2 linked regions of the Drosophila melanogaster genome follow. The gene in region 1 interacts genetically with each later gene. Each region holds a gene or a part of one and is shown in the gene's direction. Other genes may lie near its edges.

Evidence for each region. A genetic interaction does not mean that the proteins touch.
Region 2: of zfh1 (region 1) and tin, changing one enhances a phenotype caused by changing the other (phenotypic enhancement), as found in Drosophila melanogaster (one study listed by BioGRID).

Annotation. Positions count from the first base shown.
Region 1 is NT_033777.3:30,764,307-30,768,945, forward strand, and holds the start of zfh1 (Zn finger homeodomain 1), read left to right. Parts: upstream 1-1,619; 5' UTR 1,620-1,977; coding exon 1,978-2,074; intron 2,075-4,639. UniProt on the Drosophila melanogaster protein: Involved in the development of the embryonic central nervous system, embryonic mesoderm and adult musculature.
Region 2 is NT_033777.3:21,377,133-21,382,475, forward strand, and holds tin (tinman), read left to right. Parts: upstream 1-1,844; 5' UTR 1,845-2,114; coding exon 2,115-2,299; intron 2,300-3,201; coding exon 3,202-3,812; intron 3,813-4,240; coding exon 4,241-4,695; 3' UTR 4,696-4,838; downstream 4,839-5,343. UniProt on the Drosophila melanogaster protein: Required for the development of heart and visceral muscle; for the formation of somatic muscles. Has a crucial function in the early mesodermal subdivisions.

The DNA of each region.
Region 1 (4,639 bases):
CTCTCTCTCGCTTGCACCGCCGGCGCTCTCTTTCCCGCTCATGGCAGTACGTTTCAAGTGAGAAAATTATGAAGCTCCACCTATTTTACACTTACACACACGTAGCGACCGCGTTTGTGAGTGTATGGGTGTGTGAGGGAGAAGGGGGAACACATGTTAACCGCATTAAAAATTAATGTACAAATTGTTTATTATGTTGTCGAGTCCGCCTTTTGTTTTTGCTTTTTATCAAAGAGAGCATGTTTCGCTTTTTTTTTCGATAACACAATTTCTGTTACCATAAATATCTTTTTATCCATTTATACTTTTAGTTTTCAAATCTATATGTTTCTTTGAGCAGCAAAATATAAAGTACAAAAAAAGCAACATCCCAAGGGGCCGCCAAAACTTGTTGATGGAGCCAAAGAATCAAGCCACTCGCATTCTGCTCTCTTCGTTAGAATTCTTCGGTTGTCCGGGATCTCTTGGATCTCTGTTCTTCTGTCATTTTGTAGACGTGTCCATTGATGGACATTCTCAAGAACTCGCCCATCAGCAAACGATGTCATTAATGTGTGGCAATCGCGGAACGATTTCGGTATTTCTTACTCGGAAATCGCAGCAGAGGAAATTTTGCAATCGCAAGTGCAAATGATTTTGTCCGTTAACGCAGCGATGTGGCCAGGAAAGGGTTAAGGGATTCCCTGGAAAAAAGAAATCCCCTTTATCTCGCACCGCCAAATTTACCCGAAAGAAAAACGATCGAAAGCTTTCTTGAGTGGGGAATTAATCATAGCGATATGCATACATATGTGTGTAATTCCCACACGGGGAATATTTTGTCATAAACTTGATTTACCGGAAAGACTTAAAAAATTATAATACAAGTATATAATTAAACTATCTTATTGCTGTTCAATTCTGGGAATTTCAGATAATTCCTATTTATTGTTGAGTATTAAACTGTTTATTAAAAATATTTCCTAATTATAACAATTAAATATGTAAATCACTTAAGCTCTACACTTTAATATTGATACCCAGCAGCACAGAGTATTAATAAAATAACACCGAAATAAATTTGACGGTTGGCGGAAAAGTTAATGGAAAGACTCATAAGTCGCTTTATCAATAAAAACGAAATTTTGTGCAAATGTTAATATAGTCAAATCCCGCATAACGGCCATATGTTTACGAGCAGCACGATGAACAAAAGAGGCCACCCTTACGTAGTGCTTACGTCACGGGATAACCGAGAGGAGCGGCACTAACAGCGCTTAACATTTACGATATGCGATAACAGAGAGCTGTTATGTTAAGAATGAAGCGCTCTCGCTTCTCTGGCACCACCACCAACACACCACCCATCAGAGCATTAGAGCACCAACCACACTACCCCCGCCCGAATCACCTCGTACATCGGAACGGTGAACCGTTACACCGTTATATTATGCTGGTGGTGGCACGGAGCACACACACAAACAGCGCCGCCCTCTCTCACTCGCTCTCCGTGGAAACGTAGAACCCCGCCGTATCGCCCTCGCCCGAAACTCACAGTTCGCATCCGACGGATTCGGTAGAGGACGTCGGTCTCTGTTTCGTTCTCGGATTTGGCTTGATGCTTCGAAACTTAGAACTCTGAATTCAGTTGCATCGTAGACGTCGCGACGGCAGCACACGCGTCGCTCACCCACAGAGAAAACTCTGAGCAGCACACAGTAGAATCACGCAGATATAGAACGCAGATCAGTGAAATCGCCCACAAAATAAAAACAAACGCGACACTCGCAGCGGCGCATCGCGAAGAAAAATCCCAGTGTTTCCCATGTTCGAAAGATAAAAAACCCAAGGCCCTTGCCCAAATGGCCGCCACAACACGTGTGTGCTCTATAAGAAAGAAATAACGCCGAGCCCAGAAGAACCCACTAGCCAACTAGCCAACTAGCCAAACAAACTATCCGCATCAAAGTAGAGCAAGTGTTGCAACAAGCATTCCAAATGTTGTCCTGTCTGGCGCCGTCGTCTTCACGTTTCGGCCAAGAGGATACCATCATTCAGCAGAGCATGCCCTCCACCTCCCCCTTCGCCATGCAGTGTAAGTGATCAGAACGCGGATCTGGAGCACAGATCTCGGGTGATTCATCCGCAAACCGCCTCCATTATCACCAATCAGCCGTGCCATAGAACTTTGTGTTCAAGTGATTCGCGCGCCAAGACTCGGTAGCTTCGATTTGAAGATCCCCACATGCAAGCTTAGCAGTTTCCCAGAAACCATCCGCCATCTTGGGTATATGTGTGGTCTCCACCTTCAGGGGATCATAAGAATGAGTAGCTATAGAAAAACAAACTCATAAACGGCGAGTAAGGATCGAGGCAGGTCTCGAATTACCATTACCTACTCCTACGCAGAGAACGGGCTCCGGTTCTCAAAAAGGAGAGAGCGAGCCCGAAACCGAAAAAGTTTGCCCGATCAGCACACTGAGAGAAAACTGGGTCACTTTGTGCAACTTCTATACGCTTTGAGAACTTAAAGAACTTATTGTTGTTCAACTATAATCATTCGCTGGTTTTCAGCTACGAAAGTCCTTTTCCATGAGCTAAAACTACAATATAGTTAAAATTAGTACGGTTTAACATGGCAGATCATTCGATTTCTTATATCTATTGGTCATATCACGCTCTTCACACATGAAAGTCGGCCAGTCGATCTTGAATAATGGCATTATTCCCTGCATTGCATAGCATAGCCACCTCTCTGTTCCTCCCAGTGGCCGACCAATTGCAGCCACATCTCAATTTGATTTGTTGGCACCGCCGAAACAGCACCGCCGCCTTGCCAGTAATCTCCACCCACCGAGAACCAGGTAGAGCTACCCCTGACCAGGAAAACCGCATGCGCAGGCTGAAACAGCAGACGACAGGTAGCTAACTTGGCCAACACCATTACCGCGATGCCGCACCTCCATTTAAGAACCTGTTTTATGGCCATATTGCTGGTCGCTTGCCACTCTGTTTATCGAGTGTAAACAAAGCATAAAACTGTCAGTGGGCAGAGCTCATCGGTTGAAATGGAAGGTGTGAGAAAGAGCCGAAATTAATTGAAAACGCTTAGTTGGGGAGCATTGGGGATGGCGCAATGCTGGGGAAACGCCCACGATTCGTTCGGTGCTCCACTCCTCCGACTCTGACAATTGATAAGCCAGCTAAAGAGACGGATTAATTGCACATGTTCGGTGGAAACGGTTGAAACGGTGGCAACACCGCTGCCATAAATTATAATTTATGGCTATTTAAGCAGCTCCGTTCTCTGTGGGCGGAACTAAAAGCCCTCGAACACGATAGTTTGGCTAATCGATCAGAGATGGCTGCGCACAGGTTGGCCCACATATCTTCGATCCATATACTTTCCGCTTGTTTTCCGTCTCTTCCCTGGGCAAACCGAGCTGCTTGATGGCGCTGGGCAGCTGCGACTGCGATGGATATTAATCGCCGGCTACATACGAAATGCTGTTCGCTGGGCTTTTGGAAAAGCCGGGGGAAAACGCCAGCCAGCCAGCCAGCTAGTCAGCCAGCCAGCTAGTCAAGTTGTACTAATTTTCCGGCTGCTCGGCGTGTGTTGTGTCGCATTTCGAAACGGCTCCAAAATGCCGTAAATCAAAGATTTCGCCCTGGCGAAAACCTGTCGCCTGTTATCACCTTCGACTACGCCCCTTAGCTAAATATACTCTAAATATACTCTATGTATAAATCAGCGCCAATTTCCATTCCCATTTTCGCCCATCGAAGCCCTGAGCAGAAATTAAACATTTATCTGACATTTGCATCTTCGATTGGGAATACCTACCTAGTGTGTGTGTTCCACCAGCAACAAGATTGCCTCCTGTCTAATTAATCATTTTGGCTGCTGTCAGTGGATGTCAGTTTTATATGCTGGTGCTGTCGGTGCTGCCATTTATAACTCCTGGCCGGCTCATCCTGCATCTTTCACCGGGCACAGGACTCTGCCCCGTCAGCTGGTAATCGAAATTAAACAAACTTGGCCCCACAAACTATCTGGCAACTGGCATGCAAAGATGATTAATTTTGCCGATGCCTATCTCAAGTGGAGTTGGAGACTTCGGCCCGACTTTGCCCAAAATAAACAGACTGTGTCTTTAAATTGCAATTGAGCCAGGCTACAGAGCAAAAAAAAAAAAGGAAGCTCCCCATTTGCAACCAGCACAAAAGGACAATAAATCAATGAGGGGAAAGTCCTCTTTGATATCCTGCTGCAGATTCCCTTTATTCCGTGTTCAACCTGCCGCAGCTTTGGGCAAATTATTTGCCACATTTTACTTTTATTTCGCATTTTGGCCAAAAAGTAAATTGTTTGCCAATATTTTTTGCTGCTCGCTTTTTGCCGCCGTCGTGCACACAATTGAAACAAAGATAACTTTGAAACAGTTGTAAAGTGAAAATTGCACGGAATGCAGCCCGCCTCCTTGCGAATATATTTTTTCTTATTTATTTAATGCCCGCCGCTCTCCACGAGACAACAATTGCTACCCGTGCTATCCCCCGAAAAAAAAGTGCCAAAAAATCGGCGCAAACAAAAGGGTGCCCCCTGCCACCCAACCCTTGCAACACCCCCTTAAAAAAGGTGTTGCCAAAGGGCAGGCAA
Region 2 (5,343 bases), 9.4 Mb from region 1:
ATGGCAAAGGCACACACAAAATAGAATGCACTGCAGCCAAAAAAAACTGGGAAATTTTCACGCGTCTGTCTGTGTGTGCGTGTGTGTAAATTACATTTATCTCGCTTAATGACCGCAACCTACTGTGTATATTCACTTGGGGCGCCATTACTCACCTCTTGACTAAATATTTTTCCAATAAAATAACTAACTAAAGCCAGAGTTTTTTGCTAGCGCGGCCGACACGCAGAACGCGTCCGAGTTCTTTGACGTGAAAATTAGAAGTGTTACCAGGCGACGAGATTGCTGGCGATGGCAAAACAAAAAGTGACAATATATCGATAGCTTAAAATATTTATATCGAAATACTTTTATGAATATTGATAGTTGATGTGCTTTGATATTTTTTTTTTAAATGTTAGTACGAAAATCACATAATTAAGTTCATAACTTTTTGAAAACTTTTACATACTTTAGTTTACATATGCTGTAGGATTTTAGTTTGCGGGTGTGTTAAAAAAGGTTGTAGGACTAAGAAAATATCGGCCTAAGTATACGATGTATTTATGTTATGACGAAATTTCTTATTTCACAACAGTTTTGTTGTCTAGCTTAATGTTTAATTTATTTTAAATGAAATAAAACAAAATACAAATTAACGAGTTTAAAGACTAGCAGTCAAACTAGCACAACTAGAATAAAATTCATAAGATAAACAGAAAAATTTTAACTTTTTTAAATTCTCCTATTTTTTAAACTGGGCCTTCGATTTTTTACGAATGGAGGATTATTTTCTAGCGGAATTCATTATAACTCTGACAAACTCTTATGGAGCGCATCGTCACTACGTAAACCCTACACTCTGAATGCACAAGGGCACTATATTTTTAAAAAAAAAGTGACTTAATAGGATTATAAGAAAGGCAAATATTCGCTAAAAGTTCTTAAACATACCAAACAAAATATGTATGTACATAATATGTATATCTGTGTACTGTATGTACATATGCACTACATATGCAATTATATACATATGTGAACACGTTTTTGGTGCAATGCCAAGATTCGAAATGAAGGTATTCATCCCATAAAGGCGAAATATTATTAAAAATGTTGCTCTATTTAGACAACTTCACATATCCATGTTATTCATCTCTATTAAATCATAACAGTTTCAAGTGAAATAAACAATAATATATGAGAGCGTAACGTTTAAACCAAACATATTCCCCACGATTTATTTATTTGTTAGCTTAGTACACTCTTAAAATCAAGTGTGCGAAAATCTGCACTTGAGCGCCACTTGACAACCGTTTAATACACAAGACGCGCGGACAAACGTAAATACATGGGGACTATAAAACTTAAGGACTTTACGATAATAAATACGGATACTTAAGCTCAAGTAGCGAAACAAAATCAGCATAAAGTGGCTGCGAACAAACAACTAATAACAACGGGGAGCAGCTGGAGGAGTCGGTTATTGAATCTGATAGTCAGGTACAATGTGTGCGATTGTGCAAAGATACTTTCATACATGCATACAAGCATACATGTTTGGAATTAGTGATGGACAGAACTTAAAATATATTGTCAATACCATATATATTCTTAAGCTATTAGATTAAATTTACAAATGTAATACATAAATTAGTTTTTTATATTTGGATACATATTTTATAAATCTCCTAAGCATATGACAGCCTCGCACATCTCTAGCGCAGAAGAGCGAGATGCCGCACTCGCATTCCGATGCTGTGCTGTGATTGGCTCCGGGGCGGCCATTTTGCCCGTATGCTCAGTTCGCTCACACACATCCAAAAACACAGTGGCATGAGGCGGTCTGGGGTGAAAGGAGTACGCGTTCAGTACCAAAATCGAGCTGACAAATTGCAGACACGGTCGAGTGCGCATCGGAACGGCGCTTTACGGCTTACGGGTTACGGACTACTGATTGCCGATTACGGGCTACGACTCACTTACGGTTGCGCTAACGGTTGCGTGGAGTGTTTGCTCGATTACTGGACTACCGAGATTCCAATTCAAGTGTCGCAAGTTCAAGTGCGATTTGGCAAATTGTTGGACTTATTTAAATCGAAGTGCTTCTCAAGTGGCCAAGTGATCGCACAGCGAGGATGTTGCAGCACCATCAGCAGCAGGCTCAATCGGGTGGCTACTACGATCACTACACTCAGTCCCCCAGTCCGGGCAGCCTGACGAACGCGGATGCCCTGAACACCACTCCATTTTCGGTCAAGGATATCCTGAACATGGTCAACCAAACGGAGGCCTACGAAGGTTCCTACGGGCATATCGATGGGTAAGCTTGGAAGTTTTGAATCAATTATACATTAAGGGTCAAAAGCAACTAAAAATTGGGGTACACCAATAGACTAGTTCCAAGGTACTGTGTTCTACATGTTACCAAAATCTACTAAATCGAATCAGTGTACATATATGATATAAAACTAATTATTATACCGGTTAACTATCTAAATTGCAATGATTTAAGAAGGTATCTGTGCAGTTCAGAGAGAGACCAACTGTTAGTTGAGCCATTTTTAGCTATCAACTGGCATACATGGACATTTCCACCACTTCTACCTGTCAGTGACTTCTTCTCGAAGACAGCGCCCTTCCCCGTCCCGATCGCTTTTATTTATTTTTATTTAATAGGGCTCCATAGGAAAATTAATTTCTACCAATTTTCCAAAGAAAGATAATATTTTGATAACCTTCCGCCGAGACGTAGCAGAAGAAATCCTATGAAAACACATAGAAAGCATGAATTGCAAATAGGATCTGGGATCGGAGAGCGTCAAGCGTTGAGCGTTGAGCTCGAGGCTTTGACAAATCATCGTTATTTGTACAAGAGGCCGAAGACAAAGACGAGGAGAGACAGTGTTAACAATAAGAACAACAATGTCCGAGGCAGGCAGTCGGGAGTCACGGCGATCGCTGGTCCGCCCGATCCCTTCTGGGCTGGTCAACATGTGTGATTCGCATGTGTGGACCGCCGCACAGGGGCGTCCTTAATTGCCTGATGAGCCATGAAATGATGTCACCATGGATCCTGTCGCGCCAGCAGGAAGTGGGCAAAAAGTCCTCGTCCCAGCTCCCCGGGCTGTGTCCTCCGTGATGCAACATATGGCGGCCATATACGAGACTTTGTATTGCCTTGTTTCTAACCTTGCGCTTTTCCATTTTCCTGCTTTCCCGCAGCGCGGCGACTGCCTCGGCGCTCTTCGCCGCCGGTGAGTACCAGAATCCCCACCAGTACCTCAACCACCAGCAGCATCAGCAATCCGAGCTGCCGATTCCGCAGCAGCAACTGCATCACCAACACTTGGACGATGGCGCCACCACATCGTCGTCCCTATCGCCACTCTTGCCACCCCCGCCGCACCAGCTGTACGGCGGATACCAGGACTACGGTATGCCCGCCCACATGTTCCAGCACCATCACGGACATCCCCACCAGAGTTTCCAGCACTCCGCCTCGGCCTACAACATGTCCGCCTCGCAGTTCTACGCCGGCGCCTCGGCCACGGCCTACCAGACCCCCGCCACCTACAACTACAACTACGCCGGATCTGGTGAGGTGTACGGTGGAGCCACGCCCTCGGCGGTGGGCATCAAGAGCGAGTACATACCCACGCCATACGTCACGCCCTCGCCCACCCTGGACCTCAACAGCTCCGCTGAGGTGGACAGCCTGCAAGCTCCGACGCAGAAGCTGTGCGTCAATCCCCTGTCGCAGCGCCTCATGGAGACCGCTAGCAACTCGTCCTCCCTAAGGAGCATCTACGGTTCAGATGAGGGCGCCAAAAAAAGTGAGTATCTTGTTTAATTGTTTAATGGAGAAGTGGATCTATGAAATGTATGGATGTTAATTATTAAGCAATTAGAACGATTTGGGGAATACATATGTACATACATACATAGGAAGTGTGCCTTCGAATATAAAAAATGAGGATAATGGGCTAATAAATCAAATTCGTTGTTCATCTGTTTTAAAACATAAAAACATAAAATTTCTTAAGGTTCAAAGATAGATTCATTCCAAATAACGTCAAGTTAAAAATTCAATATATAATTAAATTAAACAACAAAGTGTTTAAGGATTGAAAGATGATTTATGGATGAAATTGTAATGGCAAAGTAAAACATTGTTTGAATATGATCCTAAACTAGTGCCTAGTCCCTTAACTAGTTATAACTATTATATTCTACTATATTCTCGATATTGGCTATCTTTCAGAGGATAACAGCCAGGTGACCTCCTCGCGTTCCGAGCTGCGAAAAAACAGCATCAGTGGGAACAGCAATCCGGGGAGCAACAGTGGTTCCACCAAGCCCCGGATGAAGCGAAAGCCTCGCGTGCTCTTTTCCCAGGCACAGGTCCTGGAGCTGGAGTGTCGCTTTCGACTCAAAAAGTATCTGACGGGTGCGGAGCGCGAGATAATCGCGCAAAAGCTTAACCTGTCGGCCACCCAAGTGAAGATTTGGTTCCAGAATCGGCGCTACAAATCGAAACGTGGCGACATCGACTGCGAGGGCATCGCCAAGCATCTGAAGTTGAAGTCCGAGCCCCTGGACTCGCCCACTTCTCTGCCCCCGCCGATTCCCAACCACGTGATGTGGCCCCCAACCATGCAGCAATCGCAGCAGCAGCAGCAGCATCATGCACAGCAGCAACAGATGCAGCACATGTAGTGGACATCTCGCAGGACGAAGGATTCGAGTCTCTAATTTATTGCAGTTTCAAGAAGAATACATGTTGTAGTCTAAGGAAAACGCCTCATAGTTCTAGTTCTTTGTTTTATGTATATATTGGACAATAAATAAAGCTTAAGACCAATCAGTTCAGACTATATATTTCATTTTCAACGATTTCTGTATGCATTTGACATTGGTTTGACTTTCGGAGCTAACTTGTTTTTTTTTAACAATTATTTCATATATCAGAAAAATGGATCATTCTTGGCTTTAGAAAAGTTAAAAGTTATGTTCCGTTTTTTAAAATGGTAGAGGTATATTATTATCAGGGAATAAGTTCACCCATTAGAATAGGATTTTTAAAAGATTTTCTTTCCGCATCCTTTTGTATCTTGCAGACTCAATACAACCAATTTCAGCTAAAGATCAATCAGAATTTCAGCTTGGCCTGTCGTGTGAACTTACACCACTGAATCCCATGACTCCTTGCTCTGGCGCACTCGCATTTATATCTTCATGAACAGCTTTCGATCGGCCACCGATCCATTAGGCACCGCATCTGCGTATAATTGCCGCCGATCGCCGCATAAATCAATTTTATCGGAGAGAGCGATCAGTTTTATGAAAAACGAATTCGAAGGCGAA